Linked DNA regions of Canis lupus familiaris. The protein of the gene in region 5 interacts with the protein of the main gene of each other region in a pairwise test. Links are inferred from orthologs where the notes say so. Each region holds a gene or a part of one and is shown on either strand. Other genes may lie near its edges. The genes, in order: PEG10, LRRC8E, TUBB, PHYKPL, LNX2, MAP2K5 and PTCD3.

Region 1 (4,626 bases), on a different chromosome or scaffold from region 5:
ATCAGGGCGGACAGCGACTTGGCGACCTCGAGGCGCGACAGCTCGGCCTGGATGTGGTCGCTGAGGCCCTCGTGGTACTGGTCGATCAGCGCGGGCTCGTTCCAATCCAGGTCCTGGGCGATCATCTGGAAGGCGTTGGAGTAGTCGATGACCGACCCCATGCCTTGGCGCAGACGTCGGATCTTGCGCTTGGCAGCCTCCCGCCTCTGCGGGTCTTCAAAGACGTGCTTCATTTCGGTCATGAAGGCGGGGTAGTTGTGCATCAGGTAGTGGGATCGCTCCAGCTTGGCGGAGGCCCAGCGGGCGGCACGGCCCGTCATCATGCTGGTCACGAAGCAGACGCGGACGCGGTCGACGGAGAAATCTCTGGTGCTCTTTTCCATGAAGAGCTGGCACTGGGCCATGAACGGGACCAGCATGTCGGGGTTGCCGTCAAACTTCTCAGGAAGGTCGTCCGGGCACTCCTCCTCTAGCGGAGTGGGTGGGGCAGCGGCGGCTGCAGCACCTCGGAGCTCCAGGTCGTCCTCCTCGTCCTGAGGGGCGGGCTCCACTTGCTCGCGCAGGGAGGTGTTCTCCTCTGTGAGCTTCTGCACCTGGTTCTGCAGGTTGTTGTTCTCCTCGGACTGCTTCATGACCTTCTCTCGGAGGTTGTTGATCTCTTCAGAGAGATCGTCTCGCCTTCGTTCGGCCAGGTTGGGGATGTACTGGCCCCTTGGGGCGCTGCGTGAGGATGAAGAAGAGGAAGAGGAGGAGGAGCAGGAGGAAGAGGAGGAGGAGGGGCCGTTGGGGGGAGGAGGAGGAGGAGGAGGTGGGCAGTCGGGCCCCAGGGTGAGGGTTGGCGTGGGAGGAGACCTCCCAGGTGTAGCTTCGCTCCTGTGGGGATGGAGGCCCTGATCCTGGCCTCCTCTTCCACCCTTTCTTCGTTTTGTTTTCAAAAGCTTTTTGTTTCTGTAAAGGAAGATAAAAGCAGAAGTTTATCATCCACGTTCAAAGCAGCACACTACAAAAAAGATTTTAGCATCTAAAGTAGCCACTAAAGTACCTTAAATACGTGAGTATTTAAAGTAGCCATTAAAATACTTTAAATACATGAGTATTTAAAGTATCCACTAAAATACTTTAAATACATGAGTATTTAAAGTATCTCTTTGCTCTACTTGCTTACATTAATATTTAATAAACAAACACAGATCTTGCAAAAGGGAGAAACAAGTTAATAATCAATTAAGACAATAGGTAGTAACAAAAAGCACCCTACTTTTTAACGTCCAAATGACCTTTTTCCTCATCAAATGTCACCTATTATGATTCAACAACAATGCATACCGGTATCAACAGCAAGTTTACCTTCACTGACCGTAAAAGAATGCGGAGACATTCCAAAATACCAGTTTGGATCAGGAGGGCACAGCAAGAAACTTTCAAGTCAAAGATGGAGACCAAATTAAAAACACAAAGCCAAAATGATAATTGTTATTAGACGGGTTACCTGAAAAAGAGCTAATAATCCAGCCAATAGGGAACCAAAAAGAAGGGTGGGGGATTTAAATCACACTGCCTGTATTCATCAGCCGGGGGAGGGAAGAGGGCACTACCTCCATGGTGAAGGTCACTAACTGATTATCAAAACAAACAACAACAACAACAACAACGGTCACGAAACCCACAAGATTGTCTAAATCCAACATAATCTGATTTCCCAGAGAGAATTCCCTTCGGGACAGAAGTGGCACCGAGCAGCAACGTTGTGTATCAGCCTCTCTCCTTATTATGCAGTTCATCAACAAATGTTAATTGATGCCTCCTAGGAAGAGCTAGGCTATTAAATGGGACAGTCAAAAAAGCCCAAAAAGAGAATACCTCAAATTTACAGTATGGATTTAATTAGGTAATGCAGGTAAAGCAGTGAATACTTAACAACTGTTAGCTGATATTAATAAGAAAGGTAACTTTCTGTGTAAAGAGGCTAAGATTAAAACAGGGAGGGCCTGCAACTATGGCAACCTAGGCAGGCATTTCCCACCTAAAGACATTACTTTTTTTGGGGGGGGGGGGAGGGGGGAATACGCTGTTGGCCAAACAAATCCAGGGCCTCATTTGATTTGCAGGTCACCAGTTTCCAACTTCTGGTTTTTAAACAAGATTTGTCAGCACAGTCCCACCCAAAAGTTTATAATTTAGAGCAGGATAGGGCTGTACTCCTAGGTGGTGAGTAGCAACATGGGGGGCATTGGGGGTTTGGGGGATTAAGGTCTTAATTATGGGTATGGTGACAATAAATCACACATACAATAAATCCAGCAGTGTTTATGTACTTCCTAAAATGAGGGTTAAATGCATTTATAGTAACTTAATTTTAACTTTTTATAATTTTTAAATGAGCATTAAGTTCTCATATTTGGAAAACTTTAGGAAAGCGCTCAAAAGTTTAAAACCATAATTTGTAAAAGCAGGCAGACTGCCCATTCACTAAATTTTAACTTGGCATTCCTGGTCACCTGTTCTTCTCTGACCCATCAAGGCAATAATGGACACTAAATTAATTATATTAATTAAAGCCCACAAAGATAAATGTGTTATTCAAAGAAGTTATGTGAAAAATAGCTAATATTTCAATCAATAGGGTACAAGAAAAAAAAATGAGGCCCTGGATTAGTCACAAAATAGTGTGATTTTGATTTATTAAATTAAAATCTTTATTTTTTTAAATTAAAAGCTTTAATGTCCCATTAAAAAACAATAAACACAAGTCAGGTGACTCAAGTGCCACTTCTGTATCTAGACATTAATACTTAGAAAACTTAGAAAACTTCTGGAAAGGCCTTCATAGCTCGGCCTGGCGTTGCCTGACCCAGGTCAGGAAGGTTAACAACCCACATGTCAATCACAGTCATTGGGGGGAGCTTTACTGAGGTTCCAGTCTCATGGTTTTAATATCTGCAAAACATAATAATAGGACAGATATAACAACACATTCAGAAATCAGCAAACAATCATTGTATATTGTTTAAGGAATCAAAAGATCAATAAGGGCTTAAAATGCAAATGATTTTAGTAGACAGGAAGGTAACATAAAAGTGAGAAGAAACTGGAGTTAAGACAATAAGGAGTGGGCTGGTGACTATGTAATTTAGGGATGCATGTCCCCTCCCCAGAAACATTCAATTCTTTAAAATATTTTTAATCCAGTGCTGGTCAAATAAATTAAGGGCCTTATTTGACTTGCAAGGTCACCAGTGTGAGACCCCTGACCTTTACCAAGATCAGGCATCAGGTACCCACCCCTGGGATTTTTAATTTTGGTGTGGGATTCTAAATCCTAAAGGAGATAACTGCCCAGAGAAGAGTAGTGTAACCTTTAAAAAACATAGGATAGTCGGCAGGCAGGTTAACATTCAATGTAAATAAAGCTTAAAGATATTTAAATAGCAACTAGAGCACCAGTTAATTTGGGAACAGGAGCACTGTGACTTGATTTGCACCTCCCACCCCTTACTAGGGGCTGGATTGTGGAGGTCAGGCCCAAAGGCCCCATTCCTAAAACCTGAAATGACACACAGTACTGAGCCAAGTCACATGGGATAGATGTCACCTTTACACATGAAAAAGAATCCAGTGTTAGTCTATATAGGAATTAAATACATTTGATTGACCTTTGACTCTTCTTGAAGACTTCTAAAAACTTGTTCCCCAAACACACCAAAAAGTAACAGTAGCCAAAAAACACTGCACATTAAACATCTCATTAGAAAATGACACTTCATTAAGCAACTCTTAATTGCTTTATATTTTCAAATGTCCCAATTTCTTTTTTAGTACCATGTATACTATTTGTGAAATGCAAATTATATTAATATGCATATTTTTACCATTGTTTTGAACTTTAAAAAAAACATAGAATTTCGAAAGGAAGTGGGGGTAGGGTGACGGGGGGGGGGGGGGGGGGGGGGGGCTGGGGATTAACTGAAAGCTGTAATTACCACAAGTATAAATACATAAAGATATGTAAATTGCATATTTATTAGGGGGTGGGTGACAGATATTTGGGAGTCAGAGTCCTGGCTTATGGCTTACAATATATGAAACCAGGTTTTAAAATTTCTTCATTTTATTAGAAACATAAACATGGTACATCTGACTGGAGGTAAGGCATCAGATGTTTTATGTGTATGTTTTATAATGCCAGCTAAAACCCTCCAATCTATTTTTTAATGTAACCACTTTATGTTACATTATACAAAATGTAAATATGACAATTATGTACCATTGTGAAGTAGTCCACTCACCCTGAATTTAAATAGCCAATTAGCTTGTTTTTACTTTTAAAAAGCTATTTTGAATATCTTAAATATGTATAGTTTTGTATTATAATTACAGCTTACATTATTAGAGTTTAAATTTTTTTTTTTTTTTTTTTAAAGGATCCAGTTAAGTGAGAGATAAGGCAAGCAATGCCTTAGACAATCCTGGACAGCAAAGCACCAGGGGGAAAAAAACCAGAAAACACCTGCAGACACCAAAGAAGGCACTGAATCAGCCAATTCACACTGGTCATTTAACATATATTTAATGAATGCCTACCATGTGCCAGGCACAATAAATATGTAGGCAAGTTAGCCAGGGCTA
Region 2 (3,669 bases), on a different chromosome or scaffold from region 5:
TCGTTCTCGCTCTTCCCCTCCCGGCCTGTTTTCTGGCACCCACGCTCTCCCAGCACTGCCTTTCTCGTCTGGGACAGTGCTTCATTAGGATCCCTGTTAGGCTTAATTGCTGTCTCTTCACCATAATTAGGCGCCCGTGGGGAGCCCTTTCTATTTCAGCAAACTCGGGGTTGGCCAAGGGCTGGCGGGAGGGGCAGGGTAGGGCTCGGTCACTGGAGGGGCCCCAGGACCAGGGGCATGACCCCTGATCTCCGGACAGGGTGAGGGGCAGGGCCAGAAGAGTTCCAGGTCAGCCCCCTCAAATGGGGTATTTTAGGACTTTCATCTTCCCAACCCCGGAATGTGAGCCCAGCTCCTGGACAGTGCGGAAGATGGGCCTGGATGTTAGGGCGCCTCAGCCTGGTCTCCTCGCGGCTCAACTGGTCTGTGGGCGCCCGGGAAAATGCCCCCATCTGGGATCCTGGATTTCGGAAAGCAGCTTGCGTCTGCTCTCAGTTGCGAGGAAGAGGCTCGCATTTTTTCAGACTCCTTGAGGTGTCCAGGCCCGGGAGGTCCAGGTCAGGCAGGCTGTGCCCTATGCCCTTCCTGCTCCTGGTCCAGCACGGGAACACTGGCGGGCGCGGAAGGCTTGTGGGGACTCCCGTGGTGACAATTTGCGGGTGGAACAGATGCGAGAGTGTGGAGTCCGGAGAATAATAAGGAATGGAGAAGAAAGAGAGTTCTCCAAAAAATAGCTACGCAGATGATGCCTGATAAGCCGAGGTCTCTCCTGCCTCTGCTTCCAGGACAGAAACTCATACCCTTGATTCCGCCATGTGAGTGTCATTGCTTGCCTGTTATTGGTCTGGCGAAATGGAAGGCTTAGACAAACAGGAGTGGATACCAGAGATCGGAAGTTTAGTTCTCATAATTCAGATTATTTATTAAGCACCCACTGGTAGATGCTCTCTCACACAGGAAACACTGGAAAGACAAAATCCCTGCCTCTGCTCAGAAAAATTTAACCTCCTCGGCAGGCATTCTTAACACTGGAGTCTGCCATCCTTAGGATGTCCGTGAATGGCCCTCTGGGAAATCTGGGGGAATTTGCTGACTGCCTAAAGTTGCTTGCGGAACTTTGCATGTATGTGTACCTGAGCATTTTCCTGGGAAAGGAAACACCCAGCTTTTCTCAGATGTTCAAAAGGTGTAGGACTTAGAAAGGGTTCAGAATCCCTGCTCTGGACTTGCAGATTCTGTAGGTCCGCAATTCCCAACACACAGGTCTAGGACCACCTGCATCAGAATTACCTGGGATGTGTATTTGCAGGCAGGTTCCTGGCCTCCAGCCAGACCTGAGTCAGTCTTTCAGGGGTGGGGCCCAGGATGTTTTGTTTTGGGGATGTTGATTTTGATGCATAGCCAAACACGAGAACCATTTTTCTGATTTTGCGTGTCCATAGCAAACAACTTATAAATAAGGATTTGGCATCAAAGTTGGGGGCAAGGGTCACTCATTAGTCCCTTGTGTCTGTGTCCCCTCCTTGGGAGAGAACACCAGCTATAAGGTGTTTTGAGGGGTGGGGGAAAGGGCTGAAATCCCATTGGGATGTGCCCCAACCCCATATATGGCACTAACTAGGCCAGAATGTCCAGGGTGTGGGCAGGACAGCCAGCCAAAGACGCAGGTGTGGTTTGGGTCTGAGAATCCTATGACTGAGTTAATCCCTCTACGACGTTCCACCCCAAATCCACAGCCTCTCATCTCTTCTCAGACAAACCAGTCCCAGGATCTTGCCTGGAACCCATGGTGGCTGATGCGTCTGCTCCTTCTCTCCTGGCCTGGGCCCTCTTGGCCACCTCTCTTGAAGACAGTAGTAGAGATTCTGCAGTGGAAGCATCCAGAAGGCCTCTACCCAGCCTTCCCCACCTTTGCTTCATTCCTCCTCCAGTTTCTCCCGCACCTCTGCCGGCAGGCCCTCGTAAAGGGTGTCTTCTACGAGGATCCCCACTTTCTTGAGCCCCACACAGTTGCCAAGCTCTTCTGGTAGTGCCTCCAAGCGGTTGCCCTTGAGCTCCAGGCGGCTGAGGGCTCTGAGGGCCCCCACCTGGGACGAGAGCTGGCTCAGGTGGTTGTAGCCCAGAAGCAACGTCCGCAGCTTCCGGCAGAAGAAGAGCTCATCAGGCAGGGCCTCCAGGGCATTGTAGGACAGAGCCAGGTGCTGCAGGTTCTGGAGGAGGCCCAGCTCGGGCGGCAGGGAGCGTAGCCCATTGTGGGAGATGTCCAGCAGGCGGAGGCCGGAGCACATGCCGAGCTGGGTGGGCAGGGTCTCCAGCTTGTTGTGGCTGAGGTAGAGCTGCTCCAGGCCCCGGAGCTTGCGCACGTGCTCAGGGACGTAAGCGATCTGGTTGTGCCACAGCTTGAGCGTGACCAGCTTGCGACAGTGCTGGAAGCTGAGGATCTCTTCAATGGACCGCAGGTGGTTGTCCCTGAGGTCAAGTTCCTGCAGCGCGCCCAGGCTGAAGATGGCATGGGGGATGCGCTCCAGCCCGCAGGCCACCAGCTCCAGCTCCCGCAGTGCCGCCAGCTTCTTAAGGCTGTTCAGGGCCAGCAGGCGGGCCCCGTCGTTGTGCAGACTAAGCCGCTGCAGGTGCCCGGCCACGTCAGTCACGCTGGCCGGCACCTTGCTGGCATTGCTCCGCAGAGACAGCGCCTTGAGCTGCTTCAGCTCCCGGAGGCTCTCTAGGGCCGCTGCCCGAGCCAGCTCCGGGGGGAAGAGCCCCTCGAGGTGCAGCTCCTCCAGGCCACGCAGCCCAAACACCCACAGGGGCACGTCGCGGAGCTCCTCGCACTTGACGCAGATGACCTTCAGGCGGTCCCGCAGGAAGATCTGCAGCGAGAAGGGCAGCCTGGCAGGCGAGTGGAGCAGGCTGAGCTCCTGCAGGTGCACCAGCTGCGAGAGGCCGGGGGGGAAGGTGATATCACAGATGGCCTCCAGCCGGAGGGCTTCCACCTCGCTGAGCTCGAAGACGGTGTCCGGCAGCCCCGGGAGCATGCAGAGGGCCAGCTCGAGCCGGCCCCGGGCGTTGCGCTGCAGCTTCTGCCGCAGCTTCTCAGGCGTCCACTCGTGGTTCAGGTTGAGCTGCTTCAGGCGGCTCTCGCTGACTTCGGAGAGGAAGACGGCGAAGCGCTTGGAGTAGAGGGAGTCATACTGGTCGATGAGATGTAGCATGAAAGCAAAGTCATTCTTGACGTCGGGTATGTCACCCATGCCGGTCTCCTCCCGCACAGAACGGAAGGAGTACTCCTTGAGGGGCCGATGGAAGAGCCAGTAGAGCGTGTAGAGACAGGTTAGCCCATAGACGCACACGAAGGAGATGTAGCAGAAAGCCAGCTTGGAGAAGAGGTGGGCCTTGGTGTGGTTGCAGCAGAAGCTGGCGTAGCCCGTGACCTCCGACGTCTCTACCCTGCAGGCCACCAGGAAACTGATCTTCTCCACGTAGACAAGGTTGTAGACCAGGATGGCAAAGAACTTGCAGACCTTGAGCACCGTTTGCCGGATGTACATGGTATACAAGATGTCCCCCTCCTCCACATGCACACGGAACTTCTTGACCTTCTCAAACAGGGCTTTGGCCTGTTCACCCTCCTTCTTATCCAACAGGGTGACGGCTGGTGGCTCCGTCACC
Region 3 (3,187 bases), on a different chromosome or scaffold from region 5:
TTCAGACCAGACAACTTTGTTTTTGGTGAGTTATGCACATATTAGTAGTGCTATTCAGTGTATTTGAAGGAAGGAGACTGCAAGAGCTAAGAAGTTATTTTTAATGCTGGAGCGTTTATCTGGGGATATGTTTTGAGATCTCTAACGCAGGGTGTTGGGAATGACCGCCTTAGATGGTAGATACTGAGGCAGGGATGTATCACAGGTGAGTAAGAAAAAAGGCACATTCGTGTATGTTATTTTAAAAGCTGAAGAGTGGAAATGGTCCTTTATCTTTGATGCTTTGCTAATAAAGAGAATTTTGTTCACCTCATTCCAGGGCAGTCTGGGGCTGGCAACAACTGGGCCAAGGGCCACTACACAGAGGGGGCTGAGCTAGTGGACTCAGTCCTGGATGTGGTGCGGAAGGAAGCTGAGAGCTGTGACTGCCTGCAGGGCTTCCAGCTGACCCACTCACTGGGTGGGGGCACAGGCTCTGGCATGGGCACGCTGCTCATCAGCAAGATCCGAGAAGAGTACCCTGACCGCATCATGAACACCTTCAGTGTGGTGCCCTCCCCCAAAGTGTCTGACACGGTGGTTGAGCCCTACAATGCCACTCTCTCTGTCCATCAGTTGGTAGAGAACACGGATGAGACCTATTGCATTGACAATGAGGCCCTGTACGACATCTGCTTCCGCACCCTCAAGCTGACCACGCCAACCTATGGGGACCTCAACCACCTTGTCTCAGCCACCATGAGTGGTGTCACCACCTGCCTCCGCTTCCCTGGTCAGCTCAATGCTGACCTCCGCAAGCTGGCAGTCAACATGGTGCCCTTCCCACGTCTCCATTTCTTCATGCCTGGCTTTGCACCTCTAACCAGCCGTGGAAGCCAGCAGTATCGGGCCCTCACTGTACCTGAACTCACCCAGCAGGTCTTTGATGCCAAGAACATGATGGCTGCCTGTGACCCCCGCCATGGCCGTTACCTCACTGTGGCTGCTGTCTTCCGTGGGCGGATGTCCATGAAGGAGGTAGATGAGCAGATGCTCAACGTGCAAAACAAGAATAGTAGCTACTTTGTGGAATGGATCCCCAACAATGTCAAGACCGCTGTCTGCGATATCCCGCCCCGTGGCCTCAAGATGGCAGTCACCTTCATTGGAAATAGCACAGCCATCCAGGAGCTTTTCAAGCGCATCTCAGAGCAGTTCACAGCCATGTTCCGGCGCAAAGCCTTCCTCCACTGGTACACAGGTGAAGGCATGGACGAGATGGAGTTCACCGAAGCTGAGAGCAACATGAACGACCTTGTCTCTGAGTATCAGCAGTACCAGGATGCCACCGCAGAAGAAGAAGAGGATTTCGGTGAGGAGGCTGAAGAGGAGGCTTAAGGCAGAGTACCATCACCTTAGGCTTCTCCATTCCCTCTTCCTCAGCTGCCCCTATCCTCTCCCTCAGAATTTGCATTCTCTGCCTCTTATTTTTTTTTCCCTTTTTTTTGGGGGGGGGGGTCCTAGAACAGTGCCTGGCACGTAATAGGCGCTCAATAAATACTTGTTGTTTGTTGAATGTCTCCTCTCTTCCACTCTGGGAAACCTAGATTTCTGCTGTTCTGGGTCACCCTGTATTTTCTTTTGGTGTCCATTTTCCCGTTTGTGCAGTTGATATTTCCCTTTGTTTTTTAAGGTGATTCACTGAGAAGCTGGGTCTCATTAGATCCCATTTAGAACATGTGCTGAAAACATCGCCACCATCCTAAGCCCATGTGGTAGCCCAGGGGAAAGGAAACCAAGCTACCTCATAGCAGTAGAGGTACATATCGAGAAGGTAGGGTTTTCTATTCTAGAGCAGTTTTAGAGAGGGAAATCCAGGCTCTTGAAGTCCAAATCCAGGAATCTTCCTGCTCTCAGCTTCAGGGGAGATGTTGACAGTATTGTCTATTTTTAGTCTTCTTCCAAGCTCTGTCCTGAGCTGTTTCTTTTGAGGGGTCTGTGCCACTTTGTTGAGTGGGATCCTTCCCTCCTACATAAACTGCTTCACGTGTTCGATTTCTTCCTTTTCCCAGGGGAAAGAGGGACTGGCCTTGATCCCTAAAGTCTGGAAAGGCCCCCTCCCACTCCCCACTTTTTCTTAACAAAACTCCAGCTCTACTGTGTACATATAGAAAAGTGTGTATTGCCACCTAAATCATTTGAGTCATTCTTCCAGAGGGGACAAGGAGACCCTCCACCTTTTGGCAACACCTCAGCTCTTCCTTCTGCTATTCCCTTTCCCCACACACCCTTGATTTTTGTCCTGTCCTACATTTCAAATTTCTACTTTGTGTTGAACTTGCTTTTTTTCATATTGAAAAGATACCATTGCCCCAAAAGCCAAAAATAAAAAAACTGAAAAAAAGTTGCGAGATGTGTGCTCATTTAGGGAAAGATTGCCATTGGACAACCTGAGGCTCAAGTTCAGCTACGCTTATACTCTGCTCTTAATAAACTGATGAGAATATCCTTGTACTTAACCTTATCCTGGTAGAACTATTTCACCATCCTCACTACCAGTCTCAATAACTAGGATAGGCATAGACTCCTACAGGATTGACAGAAATGGGAACTGAGATGAATGTTGAATAGTGCGTAAGTGGCTCCCAGATGAATAGCCTCTTGGGAACTTGTGTAGAAATGCAGATCACCAGGCCTACCCAGATGTACTGAACCAGAAACCAGCTGACTAGTAATCTGTTTAGCAGTACTCCAGGAGAATCTTGTGAATGCAGAGTTGAACGCTATTATTGCACTACTTTCAGTGCACAGCACATCCAGGATTCATTTGAGTTATGGGTCTTGCTTTTTTCTCTTACACCTTGGCAATTTTCTCATTTAACTCCAGGGAAAGATAAAGATAACTAGTGAGGGATGCTACTCCATGGTCCTATTCTAAAGTACTGTTTCACCAAATAAATATACTTTTCTAAGGCACAAAATAAGTCAGCTACCCTGGAAATTTAAGTCCATGTAATTTTCCTTCCAATTAATAAAGGGAACTAGTGCAGTTCTCCCAATTTCTTCCATTTTAGCATGCTTTTTTGCGTATTACCAACTTTTGCCAAAGAAAATTGTATGACGTTAACTACGTGTTAACTTGCTTTTCTCCCATTCTAAAAAGTGTTGAATGAAGGGAAGATGCTACGTTCCAGTATTAACTTTGAAT
Region 4 (4,626 bases), on a different chromosome or scaffold from region 5:
ATATCGAGTGAACACAATTATGTACCAAATTTAACTTGGCATACTTTCTATGGCCTGTCCCATGTGCATCTTATTTAAATCTCCCCCCTGGAAATCAATCTCCTGTTGACTATTTCCAGAGCTCTAGTTTGTAGGCAGCGTGTGGGGTCTCTGAGGCCAGAGCGGCATTATGGGCTGATTTTATTCTCGGGTTCCCAGAGCCAGATTGGAGGGTCTGCTTCCTGCTGCCCCGCTGCAGCCTGGACCTGTGGACCCTGGTTGTAAAGAGTAAACTGTATCCTAGAAAACCAGTGTCACCTTTTTTTCACCTTTTAATTTTATATTATTTGTGTCATACATTTCCTGTTAATGGAAGTGTTAATTTTACTGTACTTTTTGGTACCTTTTGGGAATCTAATGTATTGTAAGGTATTTTACACGTGTCCTGATTTTGCCACGACCTGGATATTGAAGCTATCCAAGCTTTTGAAATAAAAATTTAAAAACCCCCAAAGCCTGGGTGAGTGTGGGGTATCCTGTGAAGAGCGGGGAAGGGCTAGGTGCTCCCGAGCCTTCAAAGCTTTAGTACCCTCCATGACCAGACAGCAGTCCTGTCAGGCAGAGCTGCACTCTCAGAACTGCTGGTTAGCTTCTTTTGAGGATTTGGTCCTACTCAGGACTCACCCTTTTAGAGAAAGTTAAACTCCAGGACCACAGGCCTCTTCAAGAGTAGTGTGGTTGGGGCCAATGAAGGAGGGTGTTCCCCCCCAGGGCAGTGGGGAACATTCTGGGACACCTGCAAAGTTCTGTCTGTACTTGTTGGTAGAAATGGGTATTTGGTCTCCCAGCAAGGACTGAACCTATAGATGGAGGCCATGTCCTAGGAGCCAGCTGCATTTGGACAGCGTCCTTTCCTGGAGCACAGCCTAGCCCCCTTTGGCAGGGCCTAGCTGCTGACTGGATGGGAGCACCCATGGGGCTGGTGGTTGAGGCCTCAGGAGACCTGGTGGCAAGAGGCAGCAGTGGATGAAGCCTGGCAGAGAATGTTTCCCATCACCTCAGAGGAAAGAACTGGCTCAAGGCAGGTGCTATTCCTGCCCTCTGCTGTCCACTATAAAATGCATCATGGAGATTTTTCTGGGGGGTGGCTGGAGATAACCTGGTTAAGAGCAAGGTTTGGCTTGCTTGAGGGAAGGAGCCCCTGCTGTTAATGGTGCGGTCCCCAGTTGTGTGGGTTATGAGGAATAAGATCCACTCACCCAGGGGAGGACAGGATGCCTCAGGGCCGGAGCCTCAGCGTCTCACAACTTCTCATCTTTTCTTCCATGTCTGAAAAACAGCATAAAGTCACCCAAAAAGGGTTAGCAATTCTCCAGTGTCCTTTCATCAGCTGGGTGCAACTCTCATCCCAGCAGCTCAGTGCCTGAGGGAGACCCCAGCCTTCAAGTGAGGCACAAAGGTCCTGCCATCTCTGTCTACATGGCTTCACTCATGACAGTGGGGTCTTTCACCCGAGCTCTGGTTCCCTTGCCCTGCATCCACAGTACCACTCAGGACGGCTAGTGCCTTCCTGCATGCCTGCCTGCTCGGTGCTCAGGAAGTCTGTGAGGTGAGTGCAGGCCTGGGCCCCAGGGCCCCCCCCCCCCCCCCCCCCCACCAGCTCCCTGTTCCTGCACCGCCTGGAAGACTCCTGGCTAGCACCCTGGAACGTCCTATATCCTGGCTGCAGGCAGGCTCTACGGACATAGTCAGCTGCTCCTTGCTCCCCACCCCCTCACCTGTCAGGATGGCATCCATTTTTGCCACCACGTGCTGTGCGTTGTCCACACTGAAGCACATTGGAGGTTTAAACTTGAGGACGTTCCTCCCAGGACCATCAGTGCTCAGCAAAATGTAGTAGTCTTTCAGTCTGAGGAAAGGAAGTGGTGAGGCCCTGCTGCCCACCAGCCAGGGAGCCTTTCCAGGCCCCAGCTCTAGCTACTCTGGCCTGGGGGCCCCATGGCAGACCAGGTACTACCCTCCACCACTGGCTCACCCCCATTCCCACCTGCTGGTCCTTTGGGGTGCCCTGTACCTGGCCCTCAGCATGCTGCTCCATCCCTGGAGCCCCAGCCTGAGCCAGGACCAGCCCTAGCCTACAGCGTGGACAGTAAGCATTCCTGCACATCAGCAGCACTTCTAAGCTGGTATGCTGAACCCCACGTCCCCCTCACTAGCTTCAGTTAACTTCCTTGGCCAACCCTGTTTCTGCTTCTTGTCCAGAAGTAATCTTTGAAATCCCAAAGGACTCTCCAGTTTTAATTTCCGGTTCTTTTTAGGAACGAGGACTTAACCCTCAACATAACTGGTACCTGAAAATGTTAACATTCCACATTGATGCTTTAACCTAGGGAGGTTATTGGGCCAGAGAAAAGAGGTCTGACGTGATTCTATTTACATTCTGACACCACTTCCAATCTCTTATTCCTTTTTTTGTTTAAGCTTGTCAGGCTGGCTCCTTTCTCCCATACCATTCTTCCTGGCATGGACTGTGGTCCTAGAAAGAACAATATCTGGACCTTAATCCAGCCCTGCCACCAGCAAGCAGGGCAGCCGCAGGTGCCACACCTGCCCCTGGTCTAGTCTCACTGATGGCACTAAACTCAGGGTGGGTATGAGGTGGGAGTCAGGCTGGGCCTCATGACTGGCTCCCTCCTTCCCTCTGATCCCATTGATTCCAGTCCTGAGGCTCCCTGGGGGGAGGCAGTAGGTGTACCTGCCCGCAGAGGCAGGGCTCGGCCGAATACAGGAGGGGTCTTGTGTCAAAAATCCCAAGAACATTTTTACATTGTTTCTGTTCACATGATCTCAAAACAGAATGATGTGTTTTGCAATTGGAATAAGGACACAATCAGACACCAGGAGGAGGGTTTCCCCAGGTTCAGCTCCTGCCTTGGATCCAGGGAACACGCAGGCTGGGGCTGGGGATTTTGGAGTCTGGAGGTCCCAGTCATCTAGAAGCCTTCCACCTAGATGAGCAGGAGGCCTGTCCATCCCAAAAACCCGCTGCTCTGGGATCGGGGACCCCCCAGTCTGGCTCTGCCACAGCCCCTGGTGTGACTGGAAAAGCTGCTTCCCCTTGGGCACCTGGGGAACGTGAAAATATGGCTTTTGGGTCTGAGAGCCCCTGTGGCTTTGGCATCCTTGGCCGAGAATAGCCTGCACCCATCAGAAGCCTTTGGCGCAGGGCACAGGCCACGGAGCTGACCGGGCTGCTCTTCCTGTCTGGAGCTGAGTGATGCACAGATGGGTGCCCCCTTCCTGCTCAGGCCGATGTCAGCTCCTTCAGGCAAGCCCTCTGTGAGCCCTGAGTGCCCAAGAACACGGTGACAAGAGCAGAAGCAGGAAGGAGGTTCTTTCCCAGTCAGGGTCCTAGATGCTGTGAAGGTCACCAAGAATACCTGGACACCACATAGTTTGCCTCTTCAGTTGCTGGCGTCCTGGTTGCCTCGTCTTTGATCAGATCCACACCAATAAAGAGCCCAGTGCCCCTAGAGCAGAAAGGTGACATCTTAGAGGAGACTAGGCCTGGTGGGGGTGGACCCTGGTCCTTGCTCTCCTCCTCTGCCTGGGCCTGTGGGAAGCACCAGGGCTTGTTCTCTGCTTCCTGGGCAGGCTGAGAGCCATAGAACCCTCAGATGGTGGTGACCTAGTCCCAGGGAGTAACTGCAAGGGGAAGGGCCCCAGGTGTGACCGAGGAAAGGTTGGGGGTCAGAGCCAAGTCTGACCCTGGTTTTCCCTTCCCTAGAAGTGTCATCTTGGGCCAGAGCGCACCTCAGTGCTTTAGTTCCTCCTCTGAAGATGCAAGTCCCCACCAACCCAGGTGCTTAGGAGGTCACAGGAGAAACCGCACTTGGCTGCTGGCAGGTGCTTAATCAGTGGGTAATAACTGCTGCCCCAGTCTCACCTGACGTCCCCGATGATCGGATGTTTGGCTTTCTGCTCCTCGAGGAGCTCCATCAAGTAGCTGCCCACAGAGGCGGCATGAGCCTGCAGCTGCTCCTTCTCCAGAACATCTAGGACGGCCAGGCCTACAGCACAGGATACAGGGCTGCCCCCAAACTGAGCCAGGGGACAAAGCGCATGTCAGATGCCTGGAAAAGCAGGCCACGCTCCAGGGAGCATAAAGGCAGCAGAACTGCCACACGCATTCTGAGGGCAGCGACAAGCACAGGCCTGCACCCCTCAGAACTCAGTAATTTGGGGGTAGACAGGGTTCTCCTGAAGCCCCTGTGGGCTGTCCTCTTATTTTTTTTCCGGTGCTAATGTGACTGTAACTCAGGTAAGGTACCCCCAGGGGTACAAGAGGAGCCCCAAGAGACCAAATCAGAAGAGGTGTGCTGTGCATTTTTGTTGAGAGGCTTTAGGAAGCCCCATCTCACAGGTTGGGCCTAGACCCAAAGCATCAGACTAGCCTCCATCACCTTAAAAAGGGGGTCAAGAGCAACATGCCAGAGCCGCACCCAGGAAAAGCCACTCTGTGTAATTTGACTCAAGGCTTTATAGTTTTAGCTCAGGGCATATTTTAGGGCACAGAACATGATAAGCTGGTTGCCTGTAAGCCACATGTGGCCTGAATATTCATTTTGTTTGGCTTGTGTGACATTA
Region 5 (4,626 bases):
AAAATTATAGACAGTGTAATTTTCCACACGTTCATCATCACTGTACCAGAGCCTCACCTGCATGGTGATTGCAGGTACCTGCTTGGGGGGAAATGGGTGGGGAGGGGTTCATTTTAGGAGCTAATATTTTAAAACTTCTGCAGTTAAAACATCCACACACAGACCTCTTGGGTAGGCCTTTCTTCAGCCCTGGAAATACCAAGGACATAACCAAGGCAAAACAGTAGAACTGCCTGGGTTCTTATCTTCCCAAGATTTCTTAAAGGGTAACTAACTTTCTTTACATACTCTCCCATGCAAGACTGGCCTCAGCATTGAGAGGAAGAGAGCAAAGGAAAGAAGGTAAAAGGAAGAACTGATTCAAAATTGGATTAGAATCCTTTGTGACTTCTGAAATAAATTCCAGGGTGACTATTTTGAGAGTGATAATCAATGAAACTACATACAGCTTTGTTTCTGCTTGTTATAAGTTTGGGTCAAAGTACGGTATCAGCTTACATAGTCCTGAGAAGAATAATAACAAAGATCCTATAAAACAAGATTAGTATTTATATCCATTGTACACTGCATGTGTATATTATGTCACACGTGCGCAAACATAAATGTTAGGTAAATTTTTTTTTAAAGATTTTACTTATTATTCATTAAAGAAACACAGAGAGAGGCAGAGACATAGGCAGAGGGAAAAGCAGACTCCCTATGGGGAGCCCAATGCAGGATTTGATCCCCAGACCCAGGATCACACCCTGAGCTGAAGGCAGACACTCAAACACTGAGCCACCCAGGTGTCCCATTAGGTTAAGTTTTTTAGAGGTTCCAACTCTCACCTTGAATTTAGAGGTCCATTATCTTTATTTATAGATCTAGATTTTGAACAGAGATTCACATCTATTATATGTTTTAAAGCTGTTTTATCTTTGCCTTTAATGTACAGGCCTGATCTATTTGATGCTGATTCTTGGTTGTGACCACAAGTTCCCAAGTTTACTATCATTCCTACGGGAAAATCTGACAGCCTACCTTTTTTTTTTTTTTTTTTAAAGATTTTATTTATTTATTCATGAGACACACAGAGAGAGGTAGCAACATAGGCAGTGCTGATTCTTGGTTGTGACCACAAGTTCCCAAGTTTACTATCATTCCTACGGGAAAATCTGACAGCCTACCTTTTTTTTTTTTTTTTTTTTTAAAGATTTTATTTATTTATTCATGAGACACACAGAGAGAGGTAGCGACATAGGCAGAGGGAGAAGCAGGCTCCCACCGGGGAGCCCGATTTGGAACTTGATCCCTGGACTCCGGGATCACACCCTGAGCCAAAGGCAGACGCTCAACCACCGAGCCACCATGCATTCCCTGATAGCCTGCTTTTAAGAAGCTGTAGTGGAAAGTAGGACCCTCCCCCATAATTAGTCAATAATGTTAAGAATTCACTTCACCTTCAGTTCTCAGGTTGGGAAATGAGTGATAACCAAGTTGAGCCCTATTAAAAATCACCTGCTTATTCAAGCATTGCATTAAACTAGTTGCAGACAATTCTTCAAAATAAATGAAGAGTGACACTTCCCAGGTGGCCAGAGTCTGGGACTTGATCTAAAGGGTAACTGTCAAAGTAGAATGTGTAGAATTCTGATATTTGAGATTCTGACACTTCAGATTATTAGATCACACAGTGATGGGTGAGAAGCCCCTTTGTAATTTCATGTCAGTATATGGAATGGTTTGCTTTACTGCATAATACCCACCACCACCACCACTACGAAATACCCTATACAGTCATTCAGCTTTACTGAAAGACCTGTGTTTATGCAAACCCATTAACAGAAACAAATCCCTGATCATTCCTGACATTTTGAAAGGACAAAATTCTTGGTGTGTGATGGAAGTGGGCATGTGGGTTTAAACGATGGACCAACATTTGGGTTTAGGCTAATTTTAAATAGACGGCACATCTAACATTTCAGGGTTTCAAACACAACAAAAGAATTCTGTTAAAAGTCAAGATTTTTAAAAATGCAGGATGCCAAAATGACAATACCTATTTCATTAAAAAGTGGCATGCACTACTGTTGGGAGTATATATTGGTTTATATACTATATGTGTGTGTGTGTGTGTGTGTGTGTGTGTGTGTGTATATATATATACTTTCTAGAGGAAGTTTAGCAAAATGTCTTAAACTGGAAAACAGAACATTCAAGTCTGTTAACAAGGGAATGATTAAATAAGTTTTAGTACAACATGCCTACTACACAGCTATGTCATGATGAGTCTATTTTCAGGGTAAGAAGTCCACAACATACTGCTGACATGAAGAAACGGCTGCAAACTCAGAATTTGCAAGATGAGTGTACATGTAAGTATCTATGTAAATATGTACCTATTTATCTGCAGGCATGTACAGAAAAACGTTTATAATGATGTTCTCCAAAACATCTTAGGGGTTTAGACTGAATGTGACTTTAGCTTCCTTTTTTATTTTCTGTGTTTTGTCTCCTTTTATTGACAGAGTACATTATTTTTATAATCCAAAACAGTAAGATTTAATTTTTTTCACAAAAAAACAACTTGAACAATATATTATATTTGGTATTATATATATTAGAAGGTATCCATATCCATTTTTTTTAAACCTCAAGTCTGTGATGCAGGATCAATGCCTGAACCTCCTTCCTAATACAATACGGCTACCTGGTGTGTGCATGTGTTCTTATGGTTGTAATGAGCCAAAAATTTGTGAAAAGTAATTTGTGAAAAGTGAAAAATTTAAATGGGATTGAAACTTGGGTTTTCTTACATAGTAGTTTAAAACTTGTTATTTGATTCTGTCTGCCATACATATTTCTCAGTGACTATTAACCTACTTTTTAATCCCTAATGCTTGATTATGTTAATGTTTGGTTTCCTTGTGCTTACCTAAAAAAAAAAAAAAAAAAAAAAAAAGAAAGAAAGAAAGAAAAAAAAGAAAAAGCCACACATCTTTGTTTCACCCTTATCAATGTAGGAAATACCCTCATCATTAAATGCTGTGGCGGGTTAGAGAACCAGAAGTTCTGCTCTGGATGATTTTCTACTTTATTTTAATGCTTTTACTGAAAAAGTGTTTTTTTTTCTCTAATTATAAATTTACTTACTTTACAGGGATACTGTACGAATACGAGTTATGATGTGTTTGAAATGCTTTGGACTGCTTTAAAACAAAGGCACTATGGAGATTAAGAGCTATTCTTAATAAAAAATTATTTTCTCCACTTGTATGGAGCTGAAGCAGAGAGGGGGAATTACAAGAGCCAGTAAGTCACAACCTTGGAATGGCAGCTCCTTCCAGCTACGCCTTTCTCACCGTTCAATGTGGACGCCCCCGTTTTTATGTCTGGGACTAGGTGGAGCCCAGGGAGCAAATGAGAAACCTATGTGAGAATACAGGGCCTTCACTCTATAAAGAGCAAGGCTAAACACTCACAGGGATACAGTTTTCCAGAAAGGATCCTATCTGTAATGAAGTTATACTACTGTGCATTTTGAAGGATTTGAGGAGCCATGTTTGATTTCCCTATGAAATAGCAAATATCCCCTAGATTCTCATGTTATGAAAACAAACATCAACTGTAATAAAGGCTGAGCATTGGAAACGAACACCTGGTGCGTACCTGAATGATCTGGGCGGCAAGCTCTGGGGTCCCATGCTTCAGGTCATGCCCATTGATGGCAAGTACTCGGTCATTGCTGCTGAGCCTTCCATCCTGTGCAGCCAGTCCGCCTTCCAATAAGTCAAGAATAAAAACACCTGGCTCATCGGTCCTTCGTACAAGTTTAATGCCGAGCTGTTCACCAGAGTCCCGCTTGTGAAGGACCACGTGGAAGATGTCTTCCCGTGGAGAGCTACTGTCAGAGTGGCTGTTTGTCCGGTTCCCAAAGCGCCTCTCTCGCAGCACAGTGAGGTGCAGTGTGCTGCAGGGCTGGGAGAGAACGGCTCTGGCATAGTTGTGGGATACATTGCTGATGTTACAGTTGTTGACCTGGAAGAAAAGAATTAGGATCAAAGGGTGATAATCTTCTATCTTTTCAACTTGTAGAAATGCTTATTTACCATTTCTAAAAGAAACTAACTTTGTGAAAAGGATTTACAGTCATTATTTACAGAGAAAGTTTACAAATTACAATTGCAACTACAAAGATGTCTTAAAATACACAGCTTCTAAGCTTCACTCACAATGACTAGCATTAAGTAGAGAACAGCAGTTAGGATCACAAGCTTCAGTGACAGTTGAATCAGAGCCCTTGGTTCTGCCTTGTGCTATCAGCAGTGAGATGGGTTCACTCTCTGCTTCATGGGACCAGGAAGAGAATGCAGACAACAGCAGTATATGGCAAGTACCAATGAAATACTAGTTCTAGTAGAACAGAAACTGAACTACTGGATTGAAGTGGCTTTTGCCAATGAAATACACTTAAGCTAGAAAAGATACACTGAGTTTTATTTTAAGGAAAGGGACACATTCCAGGTATACAACCTGATCTCAGATCAGTGATTTTTACTTACAATTACAGTTTCACTCTAATTGTTTAGCACTAAATGTAATAGCTTATCTAACACAATATGCGTAACTCAGTGCACTCAGAACATT
Region 6 (5,385 bases), on a different chromosome or scaffold from region 5:
TTACCTTAAGGCCAGTCAGCCCGGAGCCAAGGAACCATTGAGAGATGCTTGAGAAGCAGAAGATCCAGGCCCTGTCCTTTATGTCTTAATGACAATACTTATAGAGCACTTACCAGATTCTAGATTGTTCTAGGGGCTTTATGTATATCAACTCCAGTAGTCCTCATACTCTATCAGGTGGGCACTATTTTAATTCCTGACTCCTTTTTTTTTTTTTTTTTTTTCCAGATAACGAACTGAGACCTAGAATACACTTGCCCCAAAGTGAGTATGGTAAGCTTTGCAATTCAAACCAGGTAGTCTAGCCCAGAGCTTGTATTTTTAAACACTGCACCATTCTACATTAAATAGTACCTTCTGTTATTTCAAATGAGCAAAGTCAAAGAAAGCTTACATCTTTCCATCACAGGCATGATCCCACTTAAACTTTGCAAGCCTTGAAGACGGGTATTGTCCCAATTTTACAAGTAAGGAAACTGAGGCTAAAAGAGACAGAGTGACTTGCTTACTTAGTGAGACTGCTTGCAATTAAACCCATGTTTCTAGATTCAAAACCTAGCAGACTGTCCACAAAACCTTAACTGCATGCATCTTCCTTGAAGCTCCTTTTGAAATGCTTGAACAAATATTTCAAGATGCTTTGGAGCTCCAGAAACAGGAGACAGAAACGTCCATCTCCTCCAGAAGTTTACCATTTAGTGGAGAAGATAGACAAAACTGTGACAAAACCTGCTAGCTTTGCTGGAACGGAGCTATGGGAACACAGAGGAGAGGCATATTAAGACTAAGATAGAGGAGGGACACACGGGTGGCTCAATGGTTGAGCATCTACCTTCGGCTCTGGCAGTGAATCCAGGGTCCTGGGCTGGGATCAAGTCCCACAGTGGGCTCCCTGTAAAGAGTTTGCTTCTCTCTCTGCTTCTCTCTGTGTGTCTCTCATAAATAAATAAATAAAATTAAAAAAAAAAAAAAAGACTAAGGTAGAGGAAAAGTGAAGCTGGGCTCTGAACGACAGGTAGGAATTGGCCAGCTGAAGAAAGGGGTCAGACAGCCTGGGACAAAGGTTAGCTCTATGAACCTGGAGCACATAATGTTCTCAGGGATGTGGTGAGAGACTGAGCTGGTGCCAGGCAGGCACAAGCCAATCCAGATAGACCTAGAGGACCATGTTAAAAAAAGTTTGGGCCTTGTCAAGAGAAGAAATCTATATGCATGTGAGAGTGTGGATGGACTCCAGATGCCAAGAGAAGGGCAATATTTGGTGTTGGCTTACTAGAAGCTACTGGCTCACTCCAGCTTCTGGACTCCTGGCCCAGACACCTGAAAATCTGTGATGTTCTGGGCCAGTAATATCCAGAATTCAAAATGTAGGTATTGGAATCAAATTTTGATTGAGTCACATACAGCAACCAAAAAAAAAAAAAAAAAAATCACACCCCAGATCCTCCTCCCCACAAGAATCTCTGCTCCACCCCCATTTTATCTTGTAGGTAAGTTCCACCATAGATTTGGTACCTGCAACATGTTTCTGGGCATGTCAGTTCTCCTCTCCATACCTCAATTATTCAATACTTAAAACGGGCACAGTGCACTCCGGCTATCTCAAATGTGTGCTGAAAGATGAGAAATGACAGTGCAGCATGTGGGGAAAAATCACTAAGTAAGCAAATCTGAGTTCTGGTACGGACTCTTGCACTCACGAGCAACACAGCTTTGGAAAAGCCATTCCGTCTTCACTACTCCTCAGTAACTATCTCAAAAAAGGTTCAGAGGTCTCAACAGGCCGCTCACTGCCAAGGTTACACTCCGCTCTCACATTCCATGACTTTATTTGAACTAAGTTCTCGGTACCCTGAAAGTAATGACACAGCTTTGATTCTGAGATGCACCCTCCCCCCCCCCCCCCAGGGTTAGCATCATCTGAAATTGCGCTCCTTTTGCATTCTGTGCAGCAGGTGACAGTTTAACAGGCAGTATTTTTTTCTCAGTAGTACATAAAAGAGTGTCTTAGAACCAATGACACCTTAGGTTTGCTGAAGCATGGTTCAAGCAGCCTAGATTCCCTTCCCCAGTGGTCACCAACCAAGTTCGGGGAACTCAGTAGAAAGGCATGGCTGGAATCTGGCCAAGGACATTCCGAGAAACACTTGGGGGGGCGGGGGACAGGGGACGGGGGGGGGGGGGGGGGGGTACTTCTAGACTCAGCTCTTTGCAGCCGGTTGGTTGCAAATGTGTGTGTATGTGTGTATGTCCCAGTGCAGGCTGTGAGCTCCTTGAGGGCAGGAGTTCAATCTGATTCATCTCTCCGTCCCCAAGGCCCTCCCTGCACAATTGCCAGATTTCAGTCCATGCAATTAATCAATGTGTGTCGCTGAAGCAATAAAGCCGCCCCCACAGGAAGCCAGCAAAGGCCACTGCCACTCGCTCGGTGGTGGTGGGGGGGGGGGGGGGTGCAGCAGGCTCAGATTCGGCGGTCCAAGTGCTGACTACCCCACAAATCCCTGCGCCCTCCTCAATGGGATTTGGATCCTGCGGTTGCCACTCACCAGCACGTCCCTGAAGAGTAACTGCGGCCCGGAGTGCACTGTCCAGTCCACCGCGCCACTATTTGGAATCTTGATACGAATCACCAGCACCTGGTTCTCCATGGCATGGAAGGGGCCAAGGGCGAGCCACAGCATTACAGGTGCCGGGGGCTCACATCCTGGGGTGGGCGGTACCCACTGGATCGTGGTCAAGCGGGGGCTCCAAGAGGCGACCAGGGGACGGAGGGGTGCGGGGGGGGGGAGGACAGAGGGTCGGGGAGTCGGGGGAGTGCAAAGAGGAGGGGTGGTCTGGGGGAGCCCGCGGGCACCGAGCCGGACCCAGGCTGCAGGGGGTCGGGGCTGCCTCCCTGTGAGCGTGCACCGCGCAGGAGGCAGGGGCCGGTAGGAACTAGCGGAGTTGGAAAACAGCGCGAAACGGGCTGGTGAAGCTCCCTGGCGTCTGTGTGGACGTGCGGAGATGACCCCGCTTTCGGGAGGGAGGCAGAGCGGCAGGTGTCCGCTCCTCCTTGGCGCAGAGGGAAGGGAAGGGAAGGGAAGGGAAGGGTCCCCGACTGGAAGGAGCCCCGGGGGCCCCCAGACCAGGCGGAAGCCGACCAGGGCCTTCCGCCCGAGCGCCGCGGAGCGAATCGGGCTCCCCCCCTCGGCCCCCCTCCGAGTCACAGGGCGCGGCGCGCACCGGATCAGCCCTGGCCGCCCCAGGCCGAACGTTCCGGCGGCAACGGCGGCGGGAGGAGGAGGAAGGCACGGGGAGGGCACTGTTACTCCGGAACCAAAACGCACGGCACCGGAACCCCCGGGAGCGGGCGAGACGCACCCGCCTCCCGCGGCGCCATGTTGGAAAAGGGCAGCTCCCGGCCAGCCCCGCCCCCGCGCCCGCGCCCGCGCCCGGGTGGGCGGGACCTGAGCGGAGCTCGCGAAGTGCGGGGGCGGGGCTTCCGCGGGGGGCGGGGCTTCGGGGCGGGGCTGCGCTGTCCAGGTCCCGGGACCGCAGGTGATGCGCGGAGGATGGTCCCTCCCGTGAGTGACCCTGGTTAAAGCCCCGCCAGCTGAACCATATAACGAGCGGAGGAGGAAACCGAACTGGGGCTGCAGTCCGCCCAAAGCCAGTTGATGGCTTAAAATTGCGTGCTTAAAATTGTTTGCGGAAGCCTTACCTTTATCCCAACTTTGCTAAGCCCTTTACCTTGAGGGGGTTTGTGCATCAAATCCGCAACAGCCAGGCAGGAACTCAAAAAGTACTTGGCTTTTAGACGAGAAGGTCATCGTCTTCCTCTCACATTAGCAAACAGTGCATGGATTGAATTTTTTTTTTTTTCTTTTTTCGGTTTGTTTTGCCCCGCTGTTGTCCTGAAATAGAAAACAGCCTCCGTTCAAAAGCAACAGGAAACAGGTTCAAAAGCCACCTGGTGGCTCAGTGGTTGAGCATCTGCCTTCTGGGCGTCATCCTGGGGTCCTGGGATGGAGTCCCCCATTGGGTTCCCCGCAGGGAGCCTGCTTCTCCCTCCGCCTATGTCTCTCGTGAATAAATAGATTAAGATGAAAGAAAAAAGAAAGAAAGAGAAAAAGAAAGAAAGAAAGAAAGAAAGAAAGAAGAGAAAAGAGAGAGAAAGAAAGAAAAAGAAAGAAAAGAGAGAGAAAGAGAAAGAAAGAAAGAAGAAAGAAAAGAAAGAAAAAGAAAAGAAAGAAAAGAAAAAAGAAAGAAGAAAGAAAAGAGCAATAGTAAAAAAAAAAAATCAGGGAAGAGTGTAAGTGCCAAGGGACAGCTGCAGTAGTGGCCTCATGTTCTCTCTCTTATTAAATCCTTGCAGAAAGTATCCAGTCTAGTCCCCAAATTTTCAGATAGATCCTAGATAGGATTGTTGACTTATTGGGTGATATCTTGGGAAGTAGGAATAACCCTTGGTTGTTTTTAAATGCCTTCTTAACCTCAGATTTTAAAGTGCATAACTTGTGTTCATCTGTAGTGCCTAAATAAAAGTTTGTTTACAAATTTCAACCTGTGGGTTTGTCCATAATACCCTGCTAATGTGCACCTGTTGCTTTACTTTCAGGTAGTGAACTTTGTATAAATTTGGTGGGAGAGGAGGGACAATTTCTGCCCTAACATTCAGATAGTTTACACAAGAAAAAAAAAAAGAATTTAAATGTTGATTAGTTTCAGTAGAATACCAAAAAATTTTGTGCATATTTTTCCCTGTCTGAGATTCTTTTAATACTTAATTTGAAAGTCCGAGTATGAGATAAATTATCTCTTTGTAGATGTAAAACCCCCCACACGACCTGCCTATTGTTTCTTGGGCACACCAGTAGTTATTGTAAGTTAATAGCTTAGGTAGAAATTTACTTAATCAGATGCTCCAGATATTCTGAAATTGCCTTTTTCCACTGGCACTTCAGTCAAGTGAAAAATAAACAGTGTGCCTAAGGTCCCCATGTACTTTTCACTGAAAGTTCATTTCCTATTGTTTGAAAAAATAGACCACAAAACTAGAGATTTTCTATGAACCTATCATTTGTTAAAATGGCTTTTTAATTCATTGTACTATGGGGAAAACCAACTCAATTTGTACTTTCAATTCTTCTGGATAGGTATATACCCAGAAGTGGAATTGCTAGATCATATAGTCATTCTATTCTATTTTTAATATTTTGAGGAACCACCATTCTGTTTTCTGCAATGACTGCACCATTTTACATTCCCAATAGCAATGCATGAGTGTTCTGATTTCTCCACATCTTCACCAACACTTGTTATCTTCTGTATTTTTTATATTAGCCATCCTGTTGGATGTTATGCAGTATCTTACTGTGCTTTTAATTTGCATCTTCTTAGTGATTA
Region 7 (4,360 bases), on a different chromosome or scaffold from region 5:
GGCCAAGAGAGCGAGGCATGTATAGGTGAGATGGGAAGGAGCACAGAGAAGAGAAGCCTCCAGGAAGCCAGGTTCTCCCTGGAAGTTGTAAACCAAAATCAAAGGCTAACCTTTCTTTTATTTATTAAAAGATCTTTATTTAATCATGAGAGATCCACAGAGAGAGAGGGAGAGGCAGAGACACAGGCAGAGGGAGAAGCAGGCTCCATTCAGGGAGCCCAACTCAGGACTCGATCCCGGGTCCCCAGGGTCTGGCCCTGGGCTGAAGGCAGCTCTAAACCGCTGAGCCACAGGGCTGCCCAAAGCTAACCTTTCTTAATGGTCCTTTTGTTCACTTTGATATGTCAAGGAATAATGCACATGAATGCTTAAGTAGTTATTTGCTGTCATTTCCCTGCCCCCTTTGTCCTTGAATTAAATGTCTTAAACACAATCTAGGACACAACATGAACCAATACTTAGATTTCTGAAGATGCACGAATGGATCTAGGCCTAGATAGAATGGATGGAAAATGTAAACGGAACAGACAACAGTACAAAATTGCTCATAAATGCCAACCCTGGCAGGGTAAGGTTGAAGCTGTTCATCTGTGGGGAACTCATGGGGTCTCTCAGTTAATCTGGGACCAGGTATGAGCAAAAGCAGCTTGTGGAAGCCCTGGTGAAGGGTTAAGAATGGTCCTAATAAACCATGCAGGTTCCTGTTAACTTCCAATACTGTTTCAAAGTTCTGGTGGTAAGAGAAATACCAGACTAGAGATTCTTGATTAGCAGTCCTCACTTTAGACCACTTTCAGTAGAGCACAACTAAAGGTGATGGCAAAAAAGGGGGAAGCAAGGGAGATGAAGCACTTGTAGAAATCCCAGGGCTCAGGGGAAACAGGCTATGTCAAAGTAAGAGAAGTGCGCTAAAAAAAAAAAAAAAAAAATTGCGCTCAATGCACATTACCTAGTGTTTATTTACAGCCCTCATTTTCCCATACATGTAGCTTAAAACTCCGCATCCTAGAAATGATTAAACAATGGCAAATTTCTCACCTCTAAATATCCCTAAAATTGGTATACTGATCTAGTATCAATGGAGATACATGTGCAAACCTCCTTTAGACACGTCCTTTTCTAAGGTTGCAAATCAGCCAATGAAGGCCAAGTCCATGATGGGAGGGCAAACCACAAAGGGCAACAGTGAAGTTGGCCAACAAACACTGTAGGTACAAAGCTTATGCTGAAACCAGGAGCTGTGTCCAAAGAAATGAAAATGGTAGGTCGGCTTCTGTTTAAATGGGTGGCTTAGTAAGTATCAAATTCGGAATTTAAGTAGTCCCTCTGGTATCTATTGTTCTTAAAAGTTGAAGTCTGAATTCTCTTGTTCTCTTCACAATATGGTTGAACAGAGATGTCAATTCTCAAGTGTAATTACAATAGCTATGCTAGGCCATAGCTGCTCCTGATTCACCCACTTTTATATGCCTTCACTGATGTCACTGTCACTGTCGCTGTCGCTGTCACTGGTCAGTGACGTTAGGTTTCCCAGGGCTTCCCTGTAAGGAAAATAAACGAGGGTTACACTGCATTTCAGTCTTGTGGGAGGGGACTCTGCAGCTGCACTGAACTATAATGAAAGGGGAAAAGGTTTCAAGAGCCAAAACTATAGGCCTCTCTGATGTATGTGACAAATGAAATAACTAACTAAATTAATGCATCCTGATTTTTCGCAAAGAAAAAAATTCAGGAGGCAAAAAGCTATAAACATTGAATGGGTAGACAAATGGTCTGCTCCATTTTTATCACTTTATGTTATCCATTCAGGACTTACTTTTGTTCCTGGCTGATTGCAAAGTCAGCCATCACTCTCTGGGTGAGGCCTTCACAAATAGGCAAGCTGAAGGCACCTGCCAGCTTCACTACCTCAATGGCCTGGGCAGGACTGTTGGATGCTTTTGCAGAATCCATAAACTCATTCAGCAACTTATTTCTGTAAAAGAAAGACAAAAAGTCAACATTCCCCAACAACCCCTGAATCCCTTCAAAGATTTACTTATTTATTTTTAAAAGATTTTATTTATTTATTCCTGAGAGACAGAGGGGGTGGGGGGCAGAGACACAGGCAGAGGGAGAAGCAGGCTTCATGCAGAGAGCCCAATGAAGGACTCGATCCCGCGTCTCTAGGATCAGGCCCTGGGCTGAAGGCGGCGCTAAACCACTGAGCAACCTGGGCTGCCCAGAAGACTAACTTTAATGGGCCAAAGAAATATAAGGAACACTGGTTCAGTATGCCTTCACTAAGGATCTGTTGAATGTATCCCCAGTGTGCTGCAATCACCAAGCAGATTAAACACAGTGCTTCCTTAATCTAGGATACCCTAGATGGTGGAAGCAACTGTCCATTTGCCTAGCAGAAGAATGCTCAATCACTGTGACTAAAGTATGTAAAAAAAAAAAAAAAATCCCAATCACCCCATGGTAAGAGTTAAAACCATGCACCTATTTCCTGGATATACCGAGGCAGACCTGTTAACTTCAACTTACCCAGGGATCTTATTGTGCTTCCTGAAAAGCCCCAACATTTTCCTGTTCAAGACGAGATACAAGAAAGATAATAAACAGAAGGTGAGCAGATAGTAGCGGTTCAGTTCCCTCTTTCCTAACTTCATGTAGGTACATTTCAAATTTCCCAAGCAAATCTGTTGAGGATTATTGGGGGTGGTGGGGGGGGTGGTGTATCCTCTTCTAGAGGATCACTTCAGTCCTCCCAGGAAAAAAGACGACACCCTGTGGGTAGCTGGAAGAGAGGGATGCAACTGAGTGGGATCTCTTTCCTCTCTCACAATCCCAGAATGAGATCAGTATCCTAGAATTACGTTGTGAAGAGCAGGCTCAGATTGAGGCAAGTCTCCTGTAAGTGCTCCCCAGCATCCTGCCACATGCAAGACAAAGGAGAAACACATACATTCAGCTCCCATGACTCAGCTGAGGTCCGTACCCCTGCGCCAATCATCACAGCCTGATTCATAACAAGTGTGTGTCAACAGGAGTTTAAAAATTTGAGCATCAAAGGTTTTTGTCACCAGCAGTGCAGCAGGCTATATGTGTGATTCACACTCCTAAGACAAGTTTAGGCGGCAATGCCTTCATTCACCAGCTTTTTCCTCAAGATAGTGAACAGCCACATTTTGGGCTGACAATCCTCCGTTCAAATCAACACTTTGTGTTGAAAATGCCATATACAAGTACCCCACTTACTGTTAGAACACATATTTCTACCCAGAACAAAATACAGCCATACCACTCTTATCAGGACTACTCCTACAAAGTATTCTTTTGTTAACTTCTCTGCTTTTGGAAAAAGGAATGCATGTAAGGGCTCCATTCACAAACACATTCTTAAGAATTAGTATGTGAATGGGGTGCTGATGAAAACACCTAACACAGCTATACAGTGAAACAAAGATGGTTTTAGTCAAGGCCATGTTTGTAAATGCCAATTTCCACAAGTCCCAAGGGCACAGCCTGCATTTTAAGCATTGAGTGAAATACATGGATAAGTCAAATGCCCAAAACATATTAAAAAATAACTTTCTTTGAACATTCCAGTTAAGTGAACAGGTAAGTGACTATTTGGCCATGAATATATAAAACAGGTCAGAAAGAGAATTAGCTCACTAGATGGCGTCATCTCTTAAATACAATGTATATACCATACTGGTCTTCCAAAAGTTTCCTTTTCAGTTGTCACTTGCAGTTCCCATAGAAAACTCATTATACAGTCAAATTAGAAAACTTGTGACCAGGCAAAATGTTCTCTGAGATTCAAGTACAAATGCTTCTAATTTACACTTGTGGTTTTGTACTCACCAGGCTTCCTGGGTTCTCCCAGCCCTTAAAAAGAGGACAGCTATACAGTTCAGAGAGTTGGCTGGCCAATCAGGAGCAGTCTGTCTGGCATCCTGGCTCTCGTAAGTGGATTTGATATCTGCGGCACAGTCTGCAAACGCCACCTGAAGCTGAGAGGCTCTGAGAGTCAGCAGAACTGCCTGGTTGGTTTTATGAGAATCAGGTTCAGGAGACTCCAAAGAAGCACTGACATCTTAGAGCAATGCAGTTTGCCACTCACATGTGGAGTGACGAGTAATCAAGGAAGAATGCGCCCTGGCCTGGGGTAAGTGATTTGCAAACTGGCCACATCTTTCAAATACAAGATGGATTTTCCTTTTAGATAGGATTTTTTTCAAAAAGCTATTACTGTCAAGCCAGAAAGAAACTTGCTTTTGGACCTGAGGAATGAAAGGGACTTTAGAAACGGGATTCTGCTACTTGCTACATATGTTTAGATACAGAATTTAAATCTGGGTTTAGGTGG

Evidence for each region.
Region 1: the proteins of LNX2 (region 5) and PEG10 interact in binary tests that used the Homo sapiens proteins (3 or more experiments, as listed by UniProt). The link is inferred for Canis lupus familiaris from reciprocal best matches to the Homo sapiens genes LNX2 and PEG10.
Region 2: the proteins of LNX2 (region 5) and LRRC8E interact in a two-hybrid assay, tested with the Homo sapiens proteins (3 studies listed by BioGRID and IntAct). The link is inferred for Canis lupus familiaris from reciprocal best matches to the Homo sapiens genes LNX2 and LRRC8E.
Region 3: the proteins of LNX2 (region 5) and TUBB interact in a two-hybrid assay, tested with the Homo sapiens proteins (3 studies listed by BioGRID and IntAct). The link is inferred for Canis lupus familiaris from reciprocal best matches to the Homo sapiens genes LNX2 and TUBB.
Region 4: the proteins of LNX2 (region 5) and PHYKPL interact in binary tests that used the Homo sapiens proteins (3 or more experiments, as listed by UniProt). The link is inferred for Canis lupus familiaris from reciprocal best matches to the Homo sapiens genes LNX2 and PHYKPL.
Region 6: the proteins of LNX2 (region 5) and MAP2K5 interact in binary tests that used the Homo sapiens proteins (3 or more experiments, as listed by UniProt). The link is inferred for Canis lupus familiaris from reciprocal best matches to the Homo sapiens genes LNX2 and MAP2K5.
Region 7: the proteins of LNX2 (region 5) and PTCD3 interact in binary tests that used the Homo sapiens proteins (3 or more experiments, as listed by UniProt). The link is inferred for Canis lupus familiaris from reciprocal best matches to the Homo sapiens genes LNX2 and PTCD3.

The regions. Positions count from the first base shown.
Region 1 is NC_049235.1:20,083,766-20,088,391, reverse strand, and holds part of PEG10 (retrotransposon-derived protein PEG10), read right to left. Parts: intron 949-4,626; 5' UTR 828-948; coding exon 1-827.
Region 2 is NC_049241.1:52,997,896-53,001,564, reverse strand, and holds the end of LRRC8E (volume-regulated anion channel subunit LRRC8E), read right to left. Parts: coding exon 1,917-3,669; 3' UTR 897-1,916; downstream 1-896. UniProt on the Homo sapiens protein: Non-essential component of the volume-regulated anion channel (VRAC, also named VSOAC channel), an anion channel required to maintain a constant cell volume in response to extracellular or intracellular osmotic changes.
Region 3 is NC_049233.1:653,265-656,451, forward strand, and holds the end of TUBB (tubulin beta chain), read left to right. Parts: coding exon 1-25; intron 26-319; coding exon 320-1,377; 3' UTR 1,378-2,383; downstream 2,384-3,187. UniProt on the Homo sapiens protein: Tubulin is the major constituent of microtubules, a cylinder consisting of laterally associated linear protofilaments composed of alpha- and beta-tubulin heterodimers.
Region 4 is NC_049232.1:3,617,522-3,622,147, reverse strand, and holds part of PHYKPL (5-phosphohydroxy-L-lysine phospho-lyase), read right to left. Parts: intron 4,081-4,626; coding exon 3,926-4,080; intron 3,510-3,925; coding exon 3,420-3,509; intron 1,889-3,419; coding exon 1,758-1,888; intron 1,309-1,757; coding exon 1,259-1,308; 3' UTR 1,239-1,258; intron 494-1,238; exon of another isoform or gene 1-493.
Region 5 is NC_049246.1:12,119,066-12,123,691, reverse strand, and holds part of LNX2 (ligand of Numb protein X 2), read right to left. Parts: intron 4,018-4,626; coding exon 3,649-4,017; exon of another isoform or gene 3,140-3,648; intron 2,355-3,139; exon of another isoform or gene 2,281-2,354; intron 1,873-2,280; exon of another isoform or gene 1,721-1,872; intron 1-1,720.
Region 6 is NC_049251.1:32,094,403-32,099,787, reverse strand, and holds the start of MAP2K5 (dual specificity mitogen-activated protein kinase kinase 5), read right to left. Parts: upstream 3,372-5,385; 5' UTR 2,682-3,371; coding exon 2,547-2,681; intron 1-2,546. UniProt on the Homo sapiens protein: Acts as a scaffold for the formation of a ternary MAP3K2/MAP3K3-MAP3K5-MAPK7 signaling complex.
Region 7 is NC_049238.1:39,293,235-39,297,594, forward strand, and holds the end of PTCD3 (pentatricopeptide repeat domain-containing protein 3, mitochondrial), read right to left. Parts: intron 4,005-4,360; coding exon 3,856-4,004; intron 3,008-3,855; exon of another isoform or gene 2,873-3,007; intron 2,572-2,872; coding exon 2,530-2,571; intron 1,976-2,529; coding exon 1,817-1,975; intron 1,542-1,816; coding exon 1,463-1,541; 3' UTR 940-1,462; downstream 1-939. UniProt on the Homo sapiens protein: Mitochondrial RNA-binding protein that has a role in mitochondrial translation.